Linked DNA regions of Oryctolagus cuniculus. The protein of the gene in region 1 interacts with the protein of each later gene in a biochemical or structural test. Links are inferred from orthologs where the notes say so. Each region holds a gene or a part of one and is shown in the gene's direction. Other genes may lie near its edges.

Region 1 (5,202 bases):
CCAGACCTTCAATTCCCATGGCTCAACTGAAAGCCTGCCTCTTCCTCTACCTTCTGCTACCATCACCCCTGCACAGGTGGGCCCAACGCCCCCCAGACTCCTCCTCCTTTTTTCTTCTCCATCTCGCAGGGGAGAGAGTCCAGGACTAGATTGCCATGGCCCACCCAGGTTTTCAGAACCAAGGAAGGGCGTCACCCGTGAGTCCCTTCCACCTCCAAAGCTGGGCTCTGAGGTCTTCGCGGGGAGCTGGCGCAGGACAGGCGACCAGGCTGAGCCCAAGTGCCCAGGGAAGACAATCCAGGCGTTTGGGTTGCTGGAGTTTCTTACAGAGCAGCCCCCCGGAATGCTGGGAGGACGGACAGAGACCCTCCGGAAGTCACTTTTGATTCCTGGACTCCAGTCTGTCCTCCCCCGCCGCCCTGTTTGTTTTAGTTACGAAACGTTGCGAGCACCTCGGTAGTGGCTGAAAAGTAACCTTGAAAGGCGCGGGCCTGAATGTCAGAGACAAATCATAGCCTCCCAACCGTCGGCTGCAGCCAGCGGGGCTGCGCCCGGCTGTCCCCACTGTGGGCGGCTGGCGGCTGAGCCCGGAGGAGGCGCGGGCCGGGGCTGCGGCCGCCGGACCATGCGCGCCCCGTGCGCCTTCCGCAGCCACCGCGGGGCTCGGCTGTGACGGTCCCGGGAGGGGCCTCCCGGAGCAGCGGCGGCAGAGTTCGAGGTGTGTACACAGGTTTTCTGAATACGACGGCGCTTTGCCCGCTGCTTGCTTTCAGCACTGAAGAACCCCGGGAAAAATAAATCCGGCTTGAATCCGGCTCTGCGGGGCGCGGCGGCCGGACGCGTGTCCTGGACACAGGCGCCGTGAGCCTGGCGCTCTGGGACGGGGCGGGGGTCCTGGGCCGGAGCCGCTCCCGAGGTTGGCCTCTTTGCGGGTCCCTCTTCCCACCGCGAGGTGGGGGTGTGTGTGGGTTGGGGGGGGGGACACCGTCCGGAGCCGGGAGGGCAGGAGGCTGGCTGGATCCGGGTGCCGGCCAGCCGGCCGGCTTGCCTGACACCCCCCTCGCCCCACGCTCGCTCTCTCCGAGTGCGGGGCGCGGAGGGGCAGGTGCGGGGCGCGCGGGCCGAGGCTCCCTCTCACCTAGGTGTGAGCTGATTATTCAAATGGGCTGCCCCGGGTCTGGGGATTGGAGGCCCGCGCCAGCGCGCCGCGCTATATCACCAGCCGCCCACGTCACTGCGGCACTTGTCCGCTCCGCGGTCCGCACCTCCTCCTCCTCCTCCTCCTCTTCCTCCTCTTCCCCCCTCCCCCACCCACCCCTGCGCTGCGCGCTTCCCGCCGCCTCGGGGCAGCTCGGCACTGCCAGCATCAGCCGCCACCCGGCAGCCCGAGAGCGGGGCGCGGGCGGCGGGCGCTCCCGACAGCCGGGCCCCGGCCTGGGCCTCCTGCGCTCCTCCGCCCCCTCCTCCCGCCCACTTCCAGCCACCGCCTCCGGCCGGCCGGCGCGAGAGGGAGTGGAGCCGAGAGCGAGCGAGCGAGCGCGAGGAGGGCGGAGGGAGGGAGGGGACGGTGCCTCGGCTGACTTTTTTTTTTTTTTTTTTAAAGAGGGTGGGGGTGGGGGGTGATCGCCGGTCGTTTGTTGTGGCTGTTAAATTTTAAACTGCCATGCACTCGGCTTCCAGTATGCTGGGAGCTGTGAAGATGGAAGGGCACGAGCCGTCCGACTGGAGTAGCTACTACGCCGAACCCGAGGTAAGCGCTCGCCTCGCCCGGGGGAGAGTGGGGCGGCGGGCGGCGCTCGCCCCGCGCCCGCCTCGGGACCGCTCCCCTCGCGGGCTCCCGCCCCCCCACCCCAGCCTTTCCGGGCGGCCGCCTTTACCTCCCTCCTTCGACTCAAATGGGTCTCTTTTTTATACGACACACTGTTAGCCTTGAGATAATATTAACTTTGTGATCAAATATTGACTTGCGGCGCCTCCAAATCCTCTTCGTGGCCGAGCCACGCACTCTCCTAACACAGTTCTGTTTGGCAGCGCGCGGCTGGGGAGGGGTGGGGAGCTGAAGAGGGGAAGGTGGTGGGCAGGAGCTGGGGGGTGAGGTGGAGGCAGCGGCAGAGCAGCGGGCGAAGGAGGCGAAAGAAAAGTTTGCGACTGCCGAGCCCGGCCGCGGGGAGTTTGTGGTGTCCCCAGCGCGCGCGGCTCCTGCGCTGTTCCTCGGGGCGATGTCCCGCTCTGCGTCCGGGCTAGGCGCTGGCTCGTGTTTCAGCTCCCCAGGGGCTGGGGAGGGGGTCGGGGAGGAGCGCCCGATGGAGGAGACCCTGGGTCAGTCTCCGCCTGGTGTCCCAAAGGTGGCTTGCCGGGGCAGGATGTGTCGTCCGGAGACCCTCAGCCGGGGCGCCGGCTCAGCATGCTGGCAGGAGAGTTTAGAAGGGGACTGCGGGCAGGGGAGGTGCATCCAGAGTGCTCGGCTTTGGGGTGCTCCGGGGATCCCCGTACGCTAGGCGCAGACAGGCTAGGAAGCTTCAGTTTCGTGCCCAGAGCAACAGCTCACCGGGCATCTCCCCAAAAAGCGATCAGAGCTCGCTCGGGGTAAAAAGGCCTCGATGTCCAAATACAGGCGTACCCCCCCAGCAGGGAAGGCCTCCCCCGGAGGAGGCGCGGGACCCGGGCCGGCTAGGGCGGCGGGGCTCGGGGAGGTGCGGGCACCCCACAGCCGCGGTGCTAACTCTGTCGCCCCCTTCTCCCTCCGCGGGCTCTGTTTGCAGGGTTACTCCTCGGTGAGCAACATGAACGCCGGCTTGGGCATGAACGGCATGAACACGTACATGAGCATGTCGGCGGCCGCCATGGGCAGCGGCTCCGGCAACATGGGTGCGGGCTCTATGAACATGTCGTCGTACGTGGGCGCGGGCATGAGCCCGTCCCTGGCGGGCATGTCCCCCGGCGCGGGCGCCATGGCGGGCATGGGCGGCTCGGCCGGGGCCGCGGGCGTGGCGGGCATGGGGCCGCACCTGAGCCCCAGCCTGAGCCCGCTCGGGGGCCAGGCGGCGGGCGCCATGGGCGGCCTGGGCCCGTACGCCAACATGAACTCCATGAGCCCCATGTATGGGCAGGCGGGCCTGAGCCGCGCGCGCGACCCCAAGACCTACCGGCGCAGCTACACGCACGCCAAGCCACCCTACTCGTACATCTCGCTCATCACCATGGCCATCCAGCAGAGCCCCAACAAGATGCTGACGCTGAGCGAGATCTATCAATGGATCATGGACCTCTTCCCCTTCTACCGGCAGAACCAGCAGCGCTGGCAAAACTCCATCCGCCACTCGCTCTCCTTCAACGACTGCTTCCTCAAGGTGCCCCGCTCGCCGGATAAGCCCGGCAAGGGCTCTTTCTGGACCCTGCACCCGGACTCGGGCAACATGTTCGAGAACGGCTGCTACCTGCGCCGCCAGAAGCGCTTCAAGTGCGAGAAGCAGCTGGCGCTCAAGGAGGCCGGAGCCCCTGGCGCTGGGGCCGGCGGCAAGAAGGCGGCGGCGGTGGGCGCGCAAGCCTCACAGGCTCAGCTCGGGGAGGTGGCCGGGCCAGCCCCGGACACCCCAGCGGGCACCGAGTCGCCTCACTCGAGCGCCTCGCCGTGCCAGGAGCACAAGCGCGTGGCGCTGGGGGAGCTGAAGGGGTCGGCGGCCGGGGCGGCGCTGAGTCCCCCGGAGCCGGCACCCTCGCCCGGGCAGCAGCAGCAGCAGCAGGCGGCCGCGGCCCACCTGTTGGGCCCGCCCCACCACCCGGGCCTGCCCCCCGAGGCTCACCTCAAGCCGGAGCACCACTACGCCTTCAACCACCCCTTCTCCATCAACAATCTCATGTCTTCGGAGCAACAGCACCACCACAGCCACCACAGCCACCACCAGTCCCACAAAATGGACCTCAAGGCCTATGAACAGGTGATGCACTATCCCGGCTACGGGTCGCCCATGCCCGGCAGCTTGGCCATGGGGCCCGTTACGAACAAAGCGGGCCTGGACGCCTCGCCCCTCGCCGCAGAGACCTCCTACTACCAGGGGGTGTATTCTCGGCCCATCATGAACTCTTCTTAAAGAAGGTGGCTTCAGGCCCGACTGGCTCAGACAAGCCTGGGACACAGACCAGAGAGAGAGAGAGAGAGAGAGAAAGAGGAGGAAGTGGCTGTGCAGACTTTAGCAGGGGGGCTTGGAGAGATGCAAGGGTGGAGAGATCCGTGACATCCCCCCCCCCAAGGCAAGCCCTTCTCTCCTGGAAAGATCACATTGAAACCTGTCGTTCTATATAGCGAGGGAAAGAGGAAGAAATATAAATTCAGAAAAAGAAAGAAAGAAAGAGAAAAGAAACAAAGGAAGAAGATAAAAGAAAGCCTCCGGTTTCACTGCTGTGTAGACTCCTGGTTTTGGAAGCACCTGCCAGTTCTGACCTTTTGTTGTCATTATCCATTGATGTTGTTGCAGGCGAGTCTTGCTTTAAAGGGGGAAAAAAAAACTTTTGTGAGTGACTCGGTGTAAAAACCATGTAGTTTTAACAGAGAACCAGCGGGTTGTACTATCGTTTTAAAAGGGGGAAAAATGTCAAGGTCTGTTGTAAATGACCAAGAAAAAAAAAAAAAAAGAAAATCATGCCCATTCTTGACATGGCGAAAATCCAGGTCTCGGGTCTGATTAATTTATGGTTTCTGCGTGCTTTATTTATGGCTTATAAATGTGTATTCTGGCCACAAGGGCCAGAGTTCCACAAATCTATATTAAAATGTTATTGCCGGTTTTATCCCTGGAATCTTTTCTTTAAGAGTTTTTGTTTGGTTGTTTTGTTTCGTTCTTCCCTTTGCCTGACTTGACACCCATAAACAGGTCTGAAATTATTTCCAGGAAGGTGGGAGACCCTGGCTGGTTGCAGGTTTTACTTGGGGCAGGGGGACCCTTATGTGTTGCTCTGTAGACAACACTTTATTATCCAAATGTTCAGACATGCTAAAATGTTACAGTAAGCACACTGGGACCCACTGCTAAGCCCCTACATACAAGTTAACATTTCCTGATGCTTGCTATATCTTTCATTTGTCCACCTTTGCCAAACCTCTGTGGGCAGATTGATCCCTTTTATTTCTCTGAATGTGTTTCAAAGTGAATGGCAGACATCAAAAAAAATTTTTTTTTCAGCAAGCAGCTCCTTCGCTACAAT
Region 2 (5,240 bases), on another chromosome or scaffold:
AATTTCCAAATTGACAAGAAGAGACTGGAAGATAAAGAGCGTGTTCTTACAGGTGAAGAGCAATTTTGCAACTTTTCCAGGCGACACCCAGGAGAGAGCTTGCCTGCTACCAACTGCTGCACAGTCTGGGTAGAATTCCTCTAGAAAGAAAAAGAAAGTCTTTTTCCCCCCCCTGTCTGCATCTCTCTGTCTCTAGTTCTCTTTCTCCTCTCTGTCTCTCTCTCTCCCCTCGCTCGCTCGCTCTCTCTCTCTCCCTCAGATCCAATCTTTTAAGAGCTTCAGCACATTGCTAAGCTAAAGGGAAATTCTCTTTGATAAAGCGGTGTTTCCAGCTTCTGGGTTTTAAAAGCTAAATCTATATTCAAATCTGGCTGAAGGTGTGTTCTGGGATTTATGAAAGCCTCTTAAAGGGGTAAATTTACCAAACCGTGACAAAATCATCACAATCTTACTTTAGACATCTGAAGTGGATGAGAATTTTAAAGAGACCCTTGTTTATTTAACACTGTCCATTTCCAACTCGTGCTTTGCGGCCCCGCGTGTCTGCGAAGTTGGTAGAGAGGTCACAGGCAAGGCGGGAGCGGGCTGCGGCCGGTCCGCACCTCAACACGCAGAAATCTGCCTCTGTCCAGCGCTGCCCCGGGCCGTCCCCGCCACTCGAGAGCACACCGCACACCTCCACGGGCGGGACCCCACGCTCCCACGGGTCTCCCAGTGCGGGAGTTTTCACTCACGCCGAGGCGCTCGCCAGCGCGGGTTCTGATACTTCTCCTCCCTGCCCACCCCCACCGGCCCCAAGGCCTGGCTCCGACCCTTTCCCTCCGCCAGCCCCCACAAAACCCACTTTTCCTCCTCGCTCTTGGAAGCTTTAAACCGCAGAGTGATCAAACTTGGGGCGGGGTGGGGGTGGGCGCACACGGTCCTCCCTCGGGGTGGAAAGGCGAAGCCGCGGCGCGGGACCGCGGTGGGCTTGCCCTTCCTTCACCCCAAGCGTGGGGACCCAGAGGCGGCGCGCGCGAGAGGCGCCTGGACCGCCAGCGCCCCGCAGGCCGGACCGCCTGGGGCATTCGTCCACCGCCACCACCACCCCCCACCCAGGAAAGGCCCCAGGGGCGGTCGCCAGGTGTTTCGGTGCAGTGGAGGCGGGGTGATCGCCAAAGGTCCGTACTCACCCTCCCCCCAGCCCGGCCCCTAGAAAGTCGTGACTCCTGGGGACGGGACTGCCAGCGGCTCTCTGGCGACTGGTGCAGCGGCGGCGGGAGCGGGAGGAGCCGCGCGGGGGTCTCGGCAGGCCGCGGGGGCCCCCAAAGCCCTCGGAGACACCCGCGAGGGGGGCGGCGGCCGCCGAGGGCCCGGCCCCGGGCCGAGCCGCAGGAGCCGGAGCCCAGCCCGGCTGCCGAGAGCTCGCCGCCTCGTGCGCACTCCCGTAATTCGTTAATTGCTGTAAATCCCAAGGACGGCCACATTTGATTACACATACAGTATAAGAACCGACAACAAAGCGACGAATTAATTACCGACTTCATTAACATAGGTCCCCAAATTAAAGGCAGCGAGCTGTTTCCTTGGGCCCACTCGCCGTGGCGGCGGCGGCTGGGGGAGGGGAGGGGGCTGCGGCGCCTTTTCCTGCTCTGGGAGCAGGGGGACCGAGGTGTCCCCGGCTCCCGCCACGCTCACCCCACCCCCACCCGCGCAGCCCCAGCAGCTCCACCCGGAGCTCCCCAGTACTCCGCCCCGTTGGCGTCTGCATTTCTAGAGACTCAAACGCGCTGGAAGCCGTCCGTGCCGGGCGGAACACTTGGGCTGGGGTCCACTGCCTCCGGCCGGGGTCCCCAGGCGCCCGCACTTCGCAGTCTCGGGACTCCCGCCCGAGGAGCCGCAGGCCCGCGCCGCGCCAGGTCGCCCGCAGACGCTGGGTGTGCGGGGCCGCCGCCCGAGTGGCGCACGCTCGCACTCCCACCAGGCCTGGTCTGTGTCTGGAGCCGGCCCCTGGGCTTCTCCATCCCCCCCACTCCCACCCCGCCTCCCCAGCCGCTTGCGGAGGAAGGCAGCGCGCCCCGGGCGCCGGCGCGGGGACCGGACTCGGGGAGGGGGGGTCTTGACCAAGGGCGTACAGCAGAGAGAGATTTGCAGAACAGTTTGCCCTTGGGGTGTGCGGCTCCCTTCCTCGCGGGCCCTGCGCTCCCTCGGGGCTCCCTTCCTAACCCCCCAGCCCGTGGGAGGCTCGGCGGCCGCGGTGCCAGGCCCGGCCCGGCCCGGCCCGGCTCGGCCCGCTCCGGCCTCGGCCGCACCCCGCCCCCTCCCGCCTCGACGTGGGCATTTTCATCTCTGGCCCTAACGTTGTGTGGGTTTCCTCTCTCCCCTCAAACAACAAGAGAGAGGACAGGGGCCGAGGGAAGGAGTGACGGAAGACGGAGGCGAAGGAGGCGCGGGCCCTGCCTGTCCGTCATGTTCATTATACACTTGGTTCACACGCCCCGGCCCGCAACGTGTGTTTTAAGCGGAGCCCGGTGTCTTTCAAGAACATTCTGGTAATGTCGGAGGCCTGGATTTGTTGCCTGCTCGTCCCCCCGTGCAGCAGCGGCCTGTTTTCCTCCCCCTGTTGTGTGTGTTTTTATTATTTTCCCTCTGGCTTAGATGTGTCAATCATTCTCTCCCTGCCATTGGTTGGATAGTTTGCGTCAAAAAGTTGCCAGAGAGGCGCTTTCTCAGCAAATCTCCCTGAGAGCGGAACCGGCCTCAGCTCCGACTCAGCCTGCACTGTTATGAAAAATAAAAAATCGCCAGCGCAGCCCTCACTCGCCACGTCCACTTTGTACGTATCGCACGGGGGCCCACGCGTGTTCCCAGCCCCGGCCACTGTCCGCATTTTCCGCTCTTTAAAAAAATTTTTTTTTTTGCTTCTGTTTGACTTTTTTTTGTGTGTATGTGGAAAGGGAAGACTGCACGGTTTCTAACGCAATACTCTTATTAATTTCTTTTAGGATAGCTGGCTACTTGGGATTTTGAAGGATAATTCGATTGCCCCCACCCCCTAACCTCCAATGCGGCTGTGAGGTAAGTGTGTCCGTCACCACCTGCCGGACCGGCCGGCGCGCCTCGGTCAGCGCGGAGCCCTTCTGAGGCTGATGCGGCTGTGTTGTTTTGTTTTGTTTTGTTTTTCCCTTACCAGTCTTGAGGTGTTACTCGTGAAGTGTTAGATCGCTGGGAAGATTTCGCCATCTGGAGAGGAAGGCGGGAGGGGAGGGAGAGAGCGTGTTCGCGGGGGTCGCCGGGGAGCCCCCGGGTCCGGTGTGGGGGCCTTCGCAGGGGTTTTTGTCCCCGATTCGGTTTTTATGTCCACGCGGCTTTGGTCTCCGCGCGATTGGGCGTTTTGGGCCCCAGTTTCCGGCTGATCCCAAGGACGTGTGTAGAGTCCGAGACAAAAAAAAAAAAAAAAAAATGCAGATGTAGCTTGAGGAATGGATTCAAACGATCCTGAGGAAAAGGTAGGCGCCCCTGCGGGCTGCGCCCCGAGGCTCGGCTCGCTCGCCGGTCGGCCCCGGCCTGCGGCGCGGCCCCGGCGCCCGCCTGCTCCGCAGAGAACGCGAGCCGGGGAGCCGAGCGGATAACCGGGCAGGCGGGCGGCGCGGGCGTGCTCTCCGCCCGGCCCGGAGCTGCCCCGTTCTCGGCCTCCTCCCAAGGCCTCCTGGTCTCCCCTTCCTTTTTAATCCCCTTCCCCTCCCCCCCAAGTCCTGGGAGTGCCCCCCCGCCCCCCAACACTCCATCGGCGGTCGCGGTGCCAGACCCGGGCCCCCAGGCCGAACGGAGGTGCCAGCATCGGTTTTCAAGGCGGCTGAGCTCGGGCCGGTCCCGGGCCAGCCGCGCCGACCCTCGGCGCGCACCTGGGGCGGGCGGAAGCGCCGGCGAGTGGCCCCTGCTCCGCCCGAGGCCGCCCCGGGGCCGGGAATCCTCCCGCTCGCCGCTCCCTCCCCAGGCTCGAGGCCGAAGTGGGGCCGGGGGCCGGCTGGGGCCGAGGGGTGCGCCGAGGCCCTCGCCGCCTCTGCTCGCGGGCTGCGGGGGAAAGATCCGCGGTCAGGGGGCGCCGCCAACTCCGACGAAGTCTTGGAGCGGATGGGTGGAGGGGCCGTCCCTTTTGGGGGGACCCTGCGTTGGAGCCCCAGGCTCCCTCCTCGGCGTGCGGGACTAGTGCGCTCTGCCGGGTGGGTGGCCGGGCAGTTGCCCCGTCCAGGCCGGAGCTGCGGGGCTCTGGGTTTCTGGTGCTCGCCCCGGGACTTTGTTGCAGGCACGGGAGAGGCACTGGCGAGGAAAGCCCTCCCTCCGCTCGCCGAGCCACCCGGGGCTGGCTCCCAACCTCCGCGAATAGTCAAGGCCAAGCCCGCCGGCGCGCGGCTTCCCCTCCCTCGCGGGGGCAGCGTCGCTCGATTCCCTCAGGCCACAAACTTTCCCTCGAGTTGGCCCGGGAGAGGCGCGCGGCGCTGCCGTCTGCGCCGCCCGCTCCCGCCGCGTCCACGCGGGCCCCCCAGCCGCAGGCCACGGTGGCCCCGTCCGCCTGGTGGTGTCGCCCCTCCGTCAGGCAGGAAATTAATCAGCCCGGACGAGCCGCGGCGCTGAGCACGGCGGCCTGTAATTAAGGGACGTGTGCCCCTCGGATTATCTCGTTAGTTTATCAAGAAAACATTTATTATAATTAATTCTCGGACGAGGTAATTATTATTGAGCGAGGACACAGCAACTGGTAGACGGGCTTCTTGGAAGGAGAAAAAAAAAAACATACACACCCGAGGGGGGGAGGGAGAGGGGGGAGGCGACAGATTGCACGAATTGACCGTTAGATATAAGGCTGCGCGGCCCGGCGCGGGCAGTGGAGCGGGACCTCGGCGCCAGCGCTGCGGGCCAGGGACCCGGGACCCAGCCGCTCGCGCCTTGGAGGTGTGGGCGCCACCGGCGACGGGGACTCGGCGCGCGCTCCTAGGTACGCGTTCTGCAGAGGCCGCGGCGTCTCGGGAGCAGGAGGAGGGGGCTTGTGCTTTTGAACAGGGGCTTTTCTCCCACCCCGGCCTGGACTGGATCGGGAGGGGAAGGGATGGAGAGGCGTCCCTGCTGGTCTCCTAAGTTAGACGCGGGAGGCCCACGGCCCCGTCCCTGGAGCAGTGCATCCCTGGCAGGCTGTGAGGGGACGTCGGGGTTTTGTGTTTGCTTTTCTTTCTCCCCTTTTCCTTTGAAAGGCGCATCCACGT

The links. The genes of interacting proteins can lie anywhere in the genome.
Region 2: the proteins of FOXA2 (region 1) and OTX2 form a complex in vitro, tested with the Homo sapiens proteins (2 studies listed by BioGRID). The link is inferred for Oryctolagus cuniculus from reciprocal best matches to the Homo sapiens genes FOXA2 and OTX2.

Annotation. Positions count from the first base shown.
Region 1 is NC_091442.1:46,965,342-46,970,543, reverse strand, and holds FOXA2 (hepatocyte nuclear factor 3-beta), read left to right. Parts: upstream 1-1,648; 5' UTR 1,649-1,663; coding exon 1,664-1,750; intron 1,751-2,762; coding exon 2,763-4,091; 3' UTR 4,092-4,788; downstream 4,789-5,202. UniProt on the Homo sapiens protein: Transcription factor that is involved in embryonic development, establishment of tissue-specific gene expression and regulation of gene expression in differentiated tissues.
Region 2 is NC_091443.1:19,920,965-19,926,204, forward strand, and holds the start of OTX2 (homeobox protein OTX2), read left to right. Parts: upstream 1-1,830; 5' UTR 1,831-1,968; intron 1,969-2,675; 5' UTR 2,676-2,815; intron 2,816-2,984; 5' UTR 2,985-3,057; intron 3,058-4,838; exon of another isoform or gene 4,839-4,975; intron 4,976-5,240. UniProt on the Homo sapiens protein: Transcription factor probably involved in the development of the brain and the sense organs. Can bind to the bicoid/BCD target sequence (BTS): 5'-TCTAATCCC-3'.